2 linked regions of the Mytilus edulis genome follow. The main gene of each other region encodes a partner of the protein of the gene in region 2 in a complex. Links are inferred from orthologs where the notes say so. Each region holds a gene or a part of one and is shown on either strand. Other genes may lie near its edges.

What was found.
Region 1: the proteins of AP-2 complex subunit mu (region 2) and P2X purinoceptor 4-like are in contact, whole or in part, in a crystal structure (PDB 2BP5), measured with the Rattus norvegicus proteins. The link is inferred for Mytilus edulis from reciprocal best matches to the Homo sapiens genes AP2M1 and P2RX4. Residues at the interface, in NP_446289.1 of Rattus norvegicus: Phe174, Leu175, Asp176, Lys203, Asn217, Leu316, Ala317, Gln318, Lys319, Glu391, Val392, Pro393, Lys400, Val401, Arg402, Tyr403, Leu404, Ile419, Lys420, Trp421, Val422, Arg423, Tyr424, Ile425; in NP_113782.2 of Rattus norvegicus: Val375, Glu376, Asp377, Tyr378, Glu379, Gln380, Gly381, Leu382, Ser383, Gly384.

Annotation. Positions count from the first base shown.
Region 1 is NC_092349.1:77,591,617-77,598,822, reverse strand, and holds the start of P2X purinoceptor 4-like, read right to left. Parts: upstream 3,065-7,206; 5' UTR 3,030-3,064; coding exon 2,896-3,029; intron 1-2,895. UniProt on the Homo sapiens protein: ATP-gated nonselective transmembrane cation channel permeable to potassium, sodium and calcium. CTP, but not GTP or UTP, functions as a weak affinity agonist for P2RX4.
Region 2 is NC_092356.1:16,485,750-16,492,705, reverse strand, and holds the start of AP-2 complex subunit mu, read right to left. Parts: upstream 3,006-6,956; 5' UTR 2,904-3,005; intron 1,440-2,903; 5' UTR 1,421-1,439; coding exon 1,347-1,420; intron 110-1,346; coding exon 1-109.

The DNA.
Region 1 (7,206 bases), on a different chromosome or scaffold from region 2:
ATTTTACAATAATTTAGTTTAAGTACAGCTTATATGGAAATTATATTAAAAAAGATAGGTCACCGATGAGTTGAAAAAGATATTTCAGGCCACAGACCACAATTAATTCCTCTATCAGTTCTTTATAACCTTTTGCATCATTAAAAAAATTGCACCATGCACTTTTGTCCAATTTTTTGTGTGTGTAATGTATTGTCCTAGTCCAAATATATATCCAAAATTCAGAAAGATTGAAGCAATCACTTTTACAAATTTAGCCAATACACATCCATACCCCTATTGACAAGTCAAGAGATGTTCCGAAAACTGTAAATATCACCTTTTTGCACTTGACCTAATCACTCATTCCATATCAAAATCAGTTAAAATACAACCTCCAAAAATTTATTTGACCTCTCTTCTTTCATTTCCACCCAAAAAGATTTAAGGAATGAGTGAGGAAAGGAAAGAAAAAAAATTAAGGAAAAATACACTCTAATTAAAAGGAACTATATTCGTGGACAACGAAAAGCGGTGTCATTAATTGTGGTCTTGGGCCTATTAGGGGCCTAAAACTTGACCAATTCTAATAAAACTTGGCATGATTCAAGCTTAGTATATTATAAAACAGGTTACAAAGTTTCAAAGCCATATGATACCAAATAAAAAAAATGTGGCATTTTTTATATCTGAATTTTGGGTGCTGAATTGTGGCGTTGAATTAGAACAATTAAAACTATCAAATTTGAGCTTCTAAAAACCAAAAGATACCAAAACTAACACTTTTTAATGTCTCTATGTATAAGTTAACATCTATTTAAAGCAACAGAAAGCATATTTCATGTATCAGACTTATGCAAAATGGCCAGAAGTTAATTTTATATGAGCCTGTGCCAAAAAATAGAGGTTTTCAATTAGGGTGAGGCCTTATATCAAATGTAATATTTTTCACTTACCACAATTTTCTGAAGTTGTTAAGTTATCAAACAAACTTTAACAGGTTATAAATGTACTTTTGATGGAAATATAAGTTTCAAATAGCATAAAGCATGTGGATAAAATGGTCTTTAGCAATGTTATGCTTAAAAAAACAGATTGCCAGTTTAGGCCGTTCCCCACATTTGCATATTTAAAAGCATATAAATGATATGGGAGATGGAGATATACTTCTTTTTGCTAAAATCTGTGCTCAGATATGATAAAACATGGAGCCTGGATGTAACAAGACTGTCACTTTCAACTATATATACAGACAGTATGGTCTGATGCAAAGTTTATTAACTTTACTGTTTAAAAACTGAATGAAATGTCAGCCTTAAAAGGCCAATATTTAAACCACTAGCTATCCAACAGAAGAAAGTAAAGGTAGTCTGTAAAACAGAAATGGTTAAGCAACCAGTAATAAGTGTTTTTGATGTAGGTTCAGTGCAATCTGTTTTGGAATACAACTTTTAAGTGCATAGAACTTCACATTTCACCTGCTGCGTATACTGACCGTTAGACTTAGACTATTAAAACAGCACATTTTGCACTCTTTTTATGTTTTTATCTACTTTTTTTTTGTGTTCAGAGTTCACAAATAAGTTAAACAACTGAAATAAATACCACAAACACAAATAGATACCAGAAAAAAACTGTCAGAGAGAAATTAAGCATGCTGTTTTTGAAAAAATAGTGAAAAAAGTGAAAAAGCTACATTTTAGGCATTTAACCTGAAAAGTGACTTTTTCACAAAATTTCTATCAAATGAAAGTGAAAATCATTTCTTCTCATATAGTTTGACAAATCAATACCAATAGATCATTCAGAAAAGATGCCAAAGTAAAAATTCTAAATTTGCTGAAATGCACCTCTTAGGCCACAGACCACAATTAATTCCTCTATCAGTTCTTTATAACCTTTTGCATCATTAAAAAAATTGCACCATGCACTTTTGTCCAATTTTTTGTGTGTGTAATGTATTGTCCTAGTCCAAATATATATCCAAAATTCAGAAAGATTGAAGCAATCACTTTTACAAATTTAGCCAATACACATCCATACCCCTATTGACAAGTCAAGAGATGTTCCGAAAACTGTAAATATCACCTTTTTGCACTTGACCTAATCACTCATTCCATATCAAAATCAGTTAAAATACAACCTCCAAAAATTTATTTGACCTCTCTTCTTTCATTTCCACCCAAAAAGATTTAAGGAATGAGTGAGGAAAGGAAAGAAAAAAAATTAAGGAAAAATACACTCTAATTAAAAGGAACTATATTCGTGGACAACGAAAAGCGGTGTCATTAATTGTGGTCTTGGGCCTTCAATTTTAGAGCCAAAAAATGGCATTTTTCCACCAAAGGGAGATAATTTGGAACTTTTTCAATGATGTATACATTTTAAAAGTCATCTGGGGCCAACACGAATTGATTGTTTTGAATGATTTTTGTGCCATATGATAAAGTAACAACTACAAAATGAAATAAATAAAATTTGTAATGAAAAACAAATGTTTGATTTTTTCTGAAATTTTTATACCCTCGAGCCTCCTTAAAGAGAGGGGACAGGACCTTTATTGGAACTCTGGGATCAGTTGTTTTTAAGATGGGGATTACTGGATTGACACTTTCCGGGATCCAGGACTTCTTTTTTTCAAATTTCAGAATGTTGGGATTTACGTTTATTTAAATTTGGGACCCCAGGATTTCATGTCTTTAACGTCCGTGATTTCGGGATCAGGATCCTCTATATAACATAAAGGTAGTATGAAGGTTTATATTATAAAGGAAATATGTTTTTGTGAGACGAGTGTCTGTGGTATTAGTCCAAGATATAATTTATTTATAATACATCACATGTCTTTTGCTGTTTTGGGATTGGTGTGTGTAACTTGTAACATGGTAAGACATTTGACTGTTGTACATTTCTTACCCAATGACATATCCAATTATTATGAGCTGTATCAAACGATTGATCACGCCGACTTTTTTGCTACGAATATGAACTATTCTCGGCGTGTCATACTCGAAAAATACACCAACAGCCTTGTTACAAATACTGCCCATATTCCTACTTTCAGTTTCCACCGAAATCACATGACTTGTCATTCGGAGCTTCTTTTGAATCTTCAAACAAAATTTGGCGGGAAAAAGTTTTTGTAATTCTTTTATTATTGTTAGTGTGACTGATAGGATATTTATATCAATCACGAACAATTTATATTTAAATATACAATTCCTTGCTCTGAGGTACGGCAATTAAGTAGAGTTGGCACATCCCCGTACACCTAATTAGGAAGATACCCCCTTTTACATGTGATTCAAATAATTAACAATTTTTTGGTTAATCATCCGGCCGAGGATTTTGAAAATTAATAACTCAGCCAGCCTTGATAATCACAAAAATAAATGGTTTGTTCTGTGGTAGTTTAAAAATAAATTACCTGACTTGTAATGTATTGAAAATAAATAACTCAGTATGAGATGGCAACAGATTCTTCATAAATTAATCTTTTCCCCCAAAAAAATCGGGAAACACTTCTCAATGCAATTTTTTGGATAATAAAAGTATAAATATTATTTAAAAATATACTTAAAACGTCTGAAAATTAGTTTCATTTAATTTGAGGTATATTGTCCCAGGAAACCTTACCTCACTTTTATTTTAACAGGGCAATATTAAACTACATTGAGTCAAATGACTACAGTAGGAAATGTTAAAACCGAATGCTTGTCTCCATACCAAATTGTGTTAATGGCGAGTGCCTTGCAAGAAGCAAGTTCTGTTTTCCCTCACACGTAGCCCTGATTTTTCGGGGTCAATGTTTCTTATTTATTTGTCTTTTGTTCATTGATTGTCCTTCTGTATTCTGTTAGTGTTGCATTCCTTTTGTAATCTAGTAATTTCGTCATGAACTTGATCACGAGTTAAAAAAAACCAGCAGCCACTGACTTAACTATGTGAATTCCATTTTTGCTTTATCATGCACATTGGTCTTTTGATGTTGTCCCTAGAAACTTATGTTTTACATTGAATTTATACATTTAGCTATGAGACCAAAATATTGTCAAAAAATTATTAAAACAAAACTTGCATTTTCAGATTATGAAAGGGTCTTCAGAACACCCAGAAAGCATGATTTTGCATCATTTGTTCAATAGCTTCTTAGGCCGTCAGTGGCTCCAAAACCCTTAAAAAAAAAAAATTCTCGCTTCGATCGGCGGAATAGGTTTGCCCATACTTTTAAAAGAGGCTAGTTACAACCAAACCTTAATACTATGTATGTATGCAAAACATGTATATGCAGTTGCGAATATAAAAGATTCATTTCTGCAGAGGATGATGATTAATTCTGATTAAATGGTACATAATGACTTGACTATACATGTAATATTTATAATTAACAAATCATTTAAAAATTGTACATGTTTTCGAATTTCATAAATATAGTTGTGAAAATGGATAATCAGTCCCTTGCTTTAATGAAAATGAAAAATCTTGCTCCAATAGTGCAGAAAATGAATAAGCTGTCCTCTTAGTTTACAAAAATAAATACTAGTAACCGATCAAAAACAAATCCTCCTGACACCCCCCCCCCCCCCCCCCACGCCCGCCCCCGAATATCAAACGGTCGTCCCCTAAGGTCACCATATTGTCTGGAACAATGGGCAACTTCTTACCGTATAGTAAGAAAAAGGGTACAGAAATAACTTGATAACTCGATGAACTGACAATTTGCATGCGAGTTTTCAAAGGATTTACATGATATAACCAGAAACATTGTAGCAGCACAACTATAGAACGAAGTGTGAACAACTTTTTGAAATGGCCGGACAAAAAAAACAACATAAAGACACTTGCAGCTAATAAAAGCTAATGTAACTATGACAAGTGCAAAAAATAAGATCACAAAAATACTGAACTCCGAGGAAAATTCAAATCTTGGTACAGGGATTTTCTTATACAGAGAATGGTGGATTTAACCTGGTTTTATATATATATTTTAGTTAGTTAGTAGTAGCAAATTGGTGCATATATTCTGCCCGTATTTGATTTCTGTTGCTCGATATTGGGATATTTTGTAAAAAGAAATTGAAATAATAGAATTGTAAAGATGGAGAAAAAAACTTGAGGTGCCAGGATTATACTGGATGCATCAATAATAACACCTACTTTAAAGTCAATTAGTTACAAATTGCAGATAAATCGCAATTTCTCGGACGAAAGATAACATATATAAGTCTACACACTGCTTTGTCATCTCTCTTTTAAAAACATTTTTTTTCAAACAATATACCTCAGTAACAAGTAATTTCTAACAACGCACTTTAATTGTTTTTAATCAAACATTTCACCGACTTCGGTTTTATGCTCATATTTTGCTACTCTATATATAATCTGTCAGCAAATGACAGGTGCATTATCATAGAGGGGTAGGAAACAATATTGAAGTTAAAAAATGGCTTCTTATAATGAAATATATTTAAAAACAAAATACAATCACAAACACTCAATTAACTCAAAAAAATCAAACAGATGCTTAACTTTTTTAGTGACTGACTAAATTTATAATAATGAAATACACGAAAATATATAACCTGACAATAGAAGACTTGGATAGAGAGTTGTCTCATTGGCGCCCATACCTCATTTACTTATTTCGATATGAAATTTAAAAAAAAAGAAAATAACAATTAAAGGTTTAGATCAAATTTTCCTCTTTTAGACAATTTTTTTTTATATCTATCCTTATCCATGTGTAAAGGTAACGACACATTTAGAAAAGCTCAAGCTGCATCTTTATTCTTTGATAGTGTAGATGTTCCATCCAAAATAGATACAACACAGAAATACAATGTAATAATCTCTATCTTTTTCAGTAAAAAGTTTACGAAGAACATGTGTAGTAAAAGTCAATGAGGAAGCAACCAAATGCAAAATAAGTTTGTTTTCCAGTCGTTAATTTCAACCTTTTTTAATAGAATATTTCATAAATGCTGTATATGACTAGGTATAAACTTGACAGTCTAAATTTCCGTCGAAAAATGAATCTTTAAATTTAGGAATATAACGATTGTTTTTGACTCGTTCTGTTGTTAATAAAAAAAAAAACTAATTTGTTATTTTCCATTGACGTTTTTACTCCTTTGGGATTCAGTTTTATTTTGTTATACTATTCATTAAAATTAAAATTCCCATAGGCGGATCCGGGGGAGGGGCAGGCCCCTTTCGTGGGAAAAATTTGGTTGATTAGATAGGGAATCATTGAAGCATGACTGGAGCGGGCCCCCCTTACTTAGGTCAGTCAGCGGGCCCTCCCTAATTAAGGAAAGTTCTGGATCCGCCACTGATTCCAGCTCCTTTGTTCTACCAGGGGTGATCTGAGCCCGACCATCTAATCCAGATCACCCTAGCTTGAGTTTCTTATATTATGCATGCTTTCTTTTTTTCTGTAACATTTTGATGGGAATGTCAAATCGACAATAAAACTTAAAAATATTTATACAGAAAAGACTAACTATTATAATGTGTATAGAAATAATCGAGTATCCATGTTAGGAATCGAACTCAAGATCTTTAGCATATATACCAACGAGTCATACCCTAGGCCTACACCTGGACGAATGAACACAAACTAACTGCTAGTTTAAATATATTTATTAAAGTTATGTACACCGGTATGAAAACATTACCACGTGTATTTGTTTATAAAATTACACGTGTTTGAAAGTATATAATAGGTTAAATGTTTTTCATTGGTCGAGTTAGAACTGACCATAATATTTGAATAAGGTCATTTCAAATATTTCGTGCTATACTTTTGGCGGTTTTGTATATTAAAGATATTGTCTTTTGGTGCAGTAAAGTTTCCCACCCTCCCACCCGACTTAATGTATTTTATTTGTGTTATTTTTTATTAATGTGAATAATAATGTGTGTAAGAACAGAATCTTTATTTGATTCATAAAATGTATTTTCGTACAAAATGAAAATTGTTTTTATTTTTGTAGATTGGTTTTTGTGTTTGTTACCTGCAGCGGCCTAGGCAGACAGTAACACTGATGAACATTTTTTACGTTGCATTTGTCTTTGATAAAATTAAAGCTTTGCTGCACACTGTCAGGCGAGCTGATCCCATACAAAGGTGTTGAGTTTATTTTGTAAATAATTTATGTTCGCTTGAAGTTATGAATTAGAAAATAACATATTTTAACTTTGTATTTGGGGTTCATACAGGGTAAA
Region 2 (6,956 bases):
GGACCTTTTGATGTGGAAAAAACTGGTTCTGGCAATATTGGTTACAGGTGAACGGACTTGTTGTCTGGCATGAATGACATTGACCCTAAATGCATCAACTGCATTACGTCTGAAATATAAGGCAGCAATACTTTTTGTAAATGATTGCAGAATACATGTAGCACAACTCTACCACTAATTAATGTGTTGTTCACAAATAATTAACATATCAAAATAAAAGCAATCTTTGAGTGGATACTGAAAACAAAGACAAAGTTTAATTTCTTAAGAAAATGATGAAATGTTCATACAACAAAATTGTTGCCCTGAAAAAGGAAAATTACATATACTTTTTAGCCACTGCTCAATAATGAAATATTTGACATGCATGATATTAAACATAAGTTCAGGTGTAGATTGGGGAAGGGGGGGTAATTTATGTCTTAGAATTGGGAGCGACATTTTGCAAAGCATCCAGTTTTGTTTCATTGTTGAGCTATTCAACAAAGAAAATAATATATTATTGTGTCATAAAGTCTGTCTGACTTAAGGTAGCACAATGCAAAGATTTTTTACTTCCAATCTCCAACCTTTAATATGCTGTAACTTTCTTATGACTGCATGTAAATTAATAAAAGAGGTATATATAGATAAATAAAAGATTAATCTTTTAAATGAATGCAATATTTTTGTTCTGCAATCATTATGTTACAATTATTATGTAATTAACGGCAAAATCTTGGTCAGTTCACTTGTATGAATTTAGCTCTGTCATCTCTATAACTACACAAGAAATTTTAACGTTATCTTAATCAACACAGTAGGAGCTACAAAAGGGTGTCTCAAATTATGGCTATTGTATTCTATTCTCTCATAAATCTGTAATGAGTGTAAATATCCTTACCACATAAAAGTAGAGATTGTTTGATAAGGTGTAAAATTTGATCTCTACATTCTATCCAAAATCTGAGACACTCTTTTGTAGACAATGGCTATAGGAACAACATAGTATAAAATCAACCCTCTCTGGGTATCCATGAAGAAGCTAATTTCAATTGAAAGTGTAAATTTCTTGTAAAATTTTGTAGACACAGTTAAAATTATAATTGATTACATAATTGTTGTACAATACTAACATTGCATTAATTTGAAAGAGTAATAATCTGTTAGCTATCCATAAATACCAATTTAATAAATTTTCAAGCATTATAAAGAAAGTTACAGCATTTTAAAACTGGGGCATTGGAGGTATAAAATCTTTGTACTGTGCTACCTTAATTCAGTTTGTGAAACAACATGAAAGAATGAACACTAGAATAACCTTTTTCACAATCATTATTTATAAAACTTTAATTTGATAAGTTTACCCAATATCATCTCTGTATACCCTGGATATGAGGACCTCTCCTTTGTGGTTGTAAATAAATAGTCCACCAATCATTTCTTTATTTTTCTGTTACCTGAAAACCAAAAATACATCATGTATAGAAAAACCTTGATTGTATGTATAAGTTTTACCTGATATTTAGTTCAGTGTACACTACCAATGGATAAATAATTTAAGAAAACATTTATATATCAGTTTCAAAGGGTATACTGATCTTTACTGTATATTTTGTAAAGTAAAAAACAACTTTTTTACAGGTTCAAACATGTATAACCCATAAAAGATAAACATAATATTAATAATAAAGTAATGTGAGAAATAACTTTGATCAATAAATGAGTAACCGTGTTACCATGTACCACATCAAGAAACAAAGTACATGTAATACCATGAGACAAGTTGAGTCAAATATGATGATAGGATGATTGAACTCATTATCATGATCATAGATACTAGGATTGAAATTTTGTATTTGCACCTGACAAACGTTTCATCAACGGTATACAAAAGACTCATCAGTGAAGCTCAAATAAAAAAAAAGCTTTAAAGGCCAAATAAATTACGAAGTTGAAGAGCATTGACTGGTAGACTAAAACAGATGCCTCATAAATTGTATCAAGTTCTTGACTTTTTTAGTTACTATAATGCAGAGCTTTCAATTATTTGTTTAAGAACACAATTTGTCTCATTGGAAATTAAAGAAGCCACAGCAAGATTATTTATTTTGTTCAATCATGTTAATAGCAACACAACGATAAAGAAAGGTTTATATGTGCATATAAACTTTCAAAACAATTAGCTGAGCAAATCATAACAAAAACATTTACATTTGATCAACAATCATCTATCCACTCATTTGTTTTTGCTTACATATTATTCTGGACCAAATAACATTGTTTAATCAAATTGGGATAAAGAAGCTGGTGTGAACAGTCAACAGGGCCAACATATCAAGGGCTAGGGAGCATCACGTCAAAGACTTGGAGAACAGTCAACAGGGCCAACATATCAAGGGCTAGGGAGCATCACGTCAAAGACTTGGAGAACAAACTGGAAACATCAACAGGGCCAACATATCAAGGGCTAGGGAGCATCACGTCAAAGACTTGGAGAACAAACTGGAAACATCAACTGGGCGAATCAACCAGAGCTATTATAATAATAAATAAGCTTTATTTAGAGTCGGCAAGGTATACAAACATAGACAAACATAAGCTCTAATGAGATTTTAACCGACATAAATAATTGAATAGAATGAGTGTAAAAAAAACACAGATATAAGATTTAATTTTGACCTATACCAGTTATTCAGCAGACCAAATCTGTGTTAATTTGTTTGATTGTGGGTTATATCAAAATATTTAGTGATTAAACCCAAGAAAAGTGACGCGATGTCCCTGATGATACGCCCACTTGATGATTTGTACTGCTTCCAGTTATTCTATCACAGGAATTTCAATCAAAGAAGTGAATGTAATAGAAATTATTAGTAGTTGTTCATTAACTTTAAAGGAAAACATATATGTATCTTTTTTACCGGCACAAATTATAAATAATCATTTCTAATGAGCAAGAAAGAAAATCGAAGTGTGGAAAGATCACTTCCGGTTTCAGAAAAGTCAATAATATTAGAACCAAATCAGTAGTAACTTTAATTTCCGTATTTGCAGTATTAAATTTAAATCCTTATATTGATTCCTAAGCACCACAAGAATCCTTATAAGGAAAGGTATATTGCAGGTTCTTACAAGTGTTTCACTAAACCCCTTTCTAAATTTCTTACTGCCATACTCACTGCAGTCAAAGTAGGACTTCAGAAATATTCCGAAACGACATATTCAAGAAGTGGTGTTAATCAGATGTGGATATTGAAAAAATCAAAAGAGTTATTGGTGAATTTACAATCTCATTTATTAAAACAGTGTACCAACATTAAAACCTTTGATTTTTCAACTCTTTATACCACTATTCCACATACTAAAAACTTAAAGCTCGACTGAAAGACCTCGTCAACCTATGTTTCTTTAACAAAAAGGCTGGCACTAGACGTTTTTAAATATCATCTAGTTTTGGGCAGAAATTCAGCTTACTTTGTGAAAAATCATACAGGGTCAAGCAAAAAATACACCGAAGAGGATATCACTGTCATGCTGGACTTTTAAATTGACAACATATTTGTTGAATTTGGAGGTTTAGTCTTCCAACAGACTATTGAAATCCCAGTGGGTACCAATTGCGCTCCTCTACTTGCAGATTTGTTTTTGTATTCCTATGAAGCAGAATTTATCCAAGGGCTTGTACAGAAAGGAGAAAAGAAGTTAGCCCAGTCTTTTAATTTCACCTTTCGGTATATTGATGATGTACTGTCTGTTAATGATAATAGATTCAGTGATCACTTACATTTAATATATCCAAGTGAACTTGAAATTAAAGATACTACCGACACAGATAAATCTGCTTCATATTTAGACCTTTTTCTCGAAATGACTACTGATGGTAGGTTGAATACCAAAATTTATGACAAACGCGATGATTTTAATTTTCCTATAGTCAACTTTCCATTTCTGTGTAGCAACATCCCAGCGGCACCAGCATATGGAGTATATGTGTCTCAATTGATACGTTACTCTAGAGCTAGTTCAAAGTACGTTGATTTTGTTGAACGAGGAATACTGCTTTCTCAAAAGTTGCTAAGACAGGGCTATGAATCAATCAAATTAAGGTCATCACTCAAGAAATTTTACGGTCGTCATCTTGATCTGATTGGCAATTATGAAAAAAGTGTGTTAGAAATCATATCTGATATTCTTCCTCAGTCATAATAACCTTCCATTATTATCGACTGACTGAACAAAGAAATAACACGACGGATGCCGTATACGGTGCAGGAAATGCTTACCCTTCCGGAGCACCTGATTTCACTCCCGGTTTTCATGGTTTTTAGTGGAGTTCGTGTTGTTTTTTATTTCTTATTTATAACTATTGATGTAAATGTCCTTTGGTTTTGTGAGTCTTTGTTTACTCCTTGGTTTTGTTTGTTATTGTCTTTATCGTCCGCATTTTCTGAGTCGGACTACATTTTCAAGGATTTGTATAGTACTACTATAATTCATAGTTTTTGAAAATAAATGCTATCTTATTCTCATTGTCTTAAAAAAAAAAAGAAAGAAGTTCATACAATGCAAAAAGATTCAAAGGCGACCTGGTTTCCTCAAATGACCTTATGACCATTGTAAGATTTGAAATATTCAAATTTTAAATATAAGTTTATTATTTATTAAATGTTTAACTAACATATTCATTTATTCTTGTAAGAATAAGAAACACAGTTTTTACTATTTATTTATGAAAGCGCTAATGTAACGTTGCGCTCTTTTGAACAACACATTTTCCCGTTTCTGTTTTATGACGTTACGCCTTTGACGTGCGCTTCGTCGTCTAGACTTTATTTTGATAACATAAGGATGCACATTATTTTATTAGACAGATCAAAGTTGAGAATCGATTATTAGCGACCATATGATTTTTATAAAAGAATAAAAGATAGATACATGGTGCAACTTAACTCGCATACTCATTTCTTCGCCCTAAGTTAAACTTTATGTGATTCGTACAATTCTCAACTCTGGAGAGGAGGAAATTCTAAAATTGTGCCGAATTTTGACTATTTGTTAAAAAGAAAATGGCTACCGATAGACGGAAAGAAGACTGTCTGGACTTCAGTGATGTAAAACGGACTCGTAGTACGAATTTAGCGCAGCTTACTAAATTGTACAAAGAATTGGAGAAGAATTTAATTTCATATGAGAACGTGGAACATGCAAAACAATTATATTCAAAGTTATGTGAAAGGTTTGAACAATTTAAGTTAGCACACTTACAGTGTTTAGATTTGTGTACACAATCAGAAGTTATAGAAAATTTGGAAGTGAACTATGAACGTTGTCATGAGAACTTTGTAGAATTCCGGGATAGATTTTCTCAGTATATTGCGAGTGAAAAATCGCATGAAGAGGAAATACCCGAAGAAAGTGATACAGTTTCAATTGATAGCAGTTTGAGTTCACGATCTTCAGTTTCATCACAATCTAGATTTCGCAGTGCCAAAGCTAAGCGGCTAATCGCAGAACTTAAACTCAGGAAATTATCAGAACAGCATGAACTAGAGCGTGCACAAATAGAAATTAAATTTAGACAACAGGTATTTAATCAACTATCCGAGATGGAAGAGGCCAATATCGAAGAATCAGTGTGGCAAGAAGCAGTGGAAGAAGACACAGATAATACCAGTGGAATCGTGAACATTCGGAACATTTCGCAAACAGTCTCGCAAACATTACAGAGCTCTGTTCCTGCGAGTGAAAAGTGTATTAATATGAACTCTCTTTCCGGACAAACTGCAGCAACTGATAAACCAAAGATGAACATTAATAACAGTACACAGGGAATCAGTGCTCAGTCTGGATTTTCGGATGTAAGTGTTTCCAGCATAGATTCAGCTTTTCAACGCCTAGCATCTACACTTCACGAAGGGTTTAATTTGCCAAAACCAGAATTATTAACTTTTAATGGAACTCCGTTAGACTATGGAACTCCGTTAGACTATAGTAAGTTTATAAGGAACTTTGAGACAAACATTGAAGGTAGAATAAGTGATAATAGTTTGAGACTGAGTTATTTAATTCAGTACTGTAGAGGTGAAGCCAAGTGTTGTATAGAAGATTGTGTATTATTAGATTCTGATGAGGGTTACAAACGTGCTAGGGCAATATTGTACTCCCGATACGGTAGGCCACATGTAATTGCTAGATCATTTATTGAAAAATTAGTGTACGGCGCTCAGATTAAAGCGTCAGATATTGAAGGTTTATCTAAATTGGCATTAGAAATGCAAAAATGTGAAATCACATTGTCTCAGTTAGGTTTTAATTCAGATATTGATAATTCTAAAAATTTAAGGTGTATTGTTAAACGCTTTCCAATGCATATGAGAACAAGATGGGTCGACATTGCTCATTCAATTAGTGAGTCTGGTAGAGAACCCCGTTTTTCTGACTTAGCTAAATTTGTAGACGAAAAATCACGCATTGCTAGTTCTATGTATGGGTACGATCTTTGTAGAGAAAACAATCAGAACAAGACTGATAAAAGGGTTTTTACAAGTAACCATCATAATAATGATACAGTTAATAGTAAGGTTACTACGTTAAGTACTCAAAGTTTAAATAACACAGCTAAATATGAGCACAAATGTAAATGTTGTACAGGTACTTGTGTAGATTTTACAGCTTGTAGCAAATTCAAGTCAATGAGTTTAGATGATAGGTATAAATTAGTACGCATGTTAAAATTGTGTTATAATTGTTTAAAAGGGAAGCATTTTGCTAACAATTGTAGAAAACCAAAGGCATGCACTGTATCTGACTGTAATGTTAAGCATAATATTTTATTGCATAGTTGGTCTAAGCCCGGTTTTGATCATGCAGCTACTCAGCCTTCAGTTAATTGCGCAGCTACTAAAGGTTCTATGATTAAGAACTGTTTAGGAATTATTCCTGTCCTCGTTAAGGGTCGGAACGGTAACTCTTGC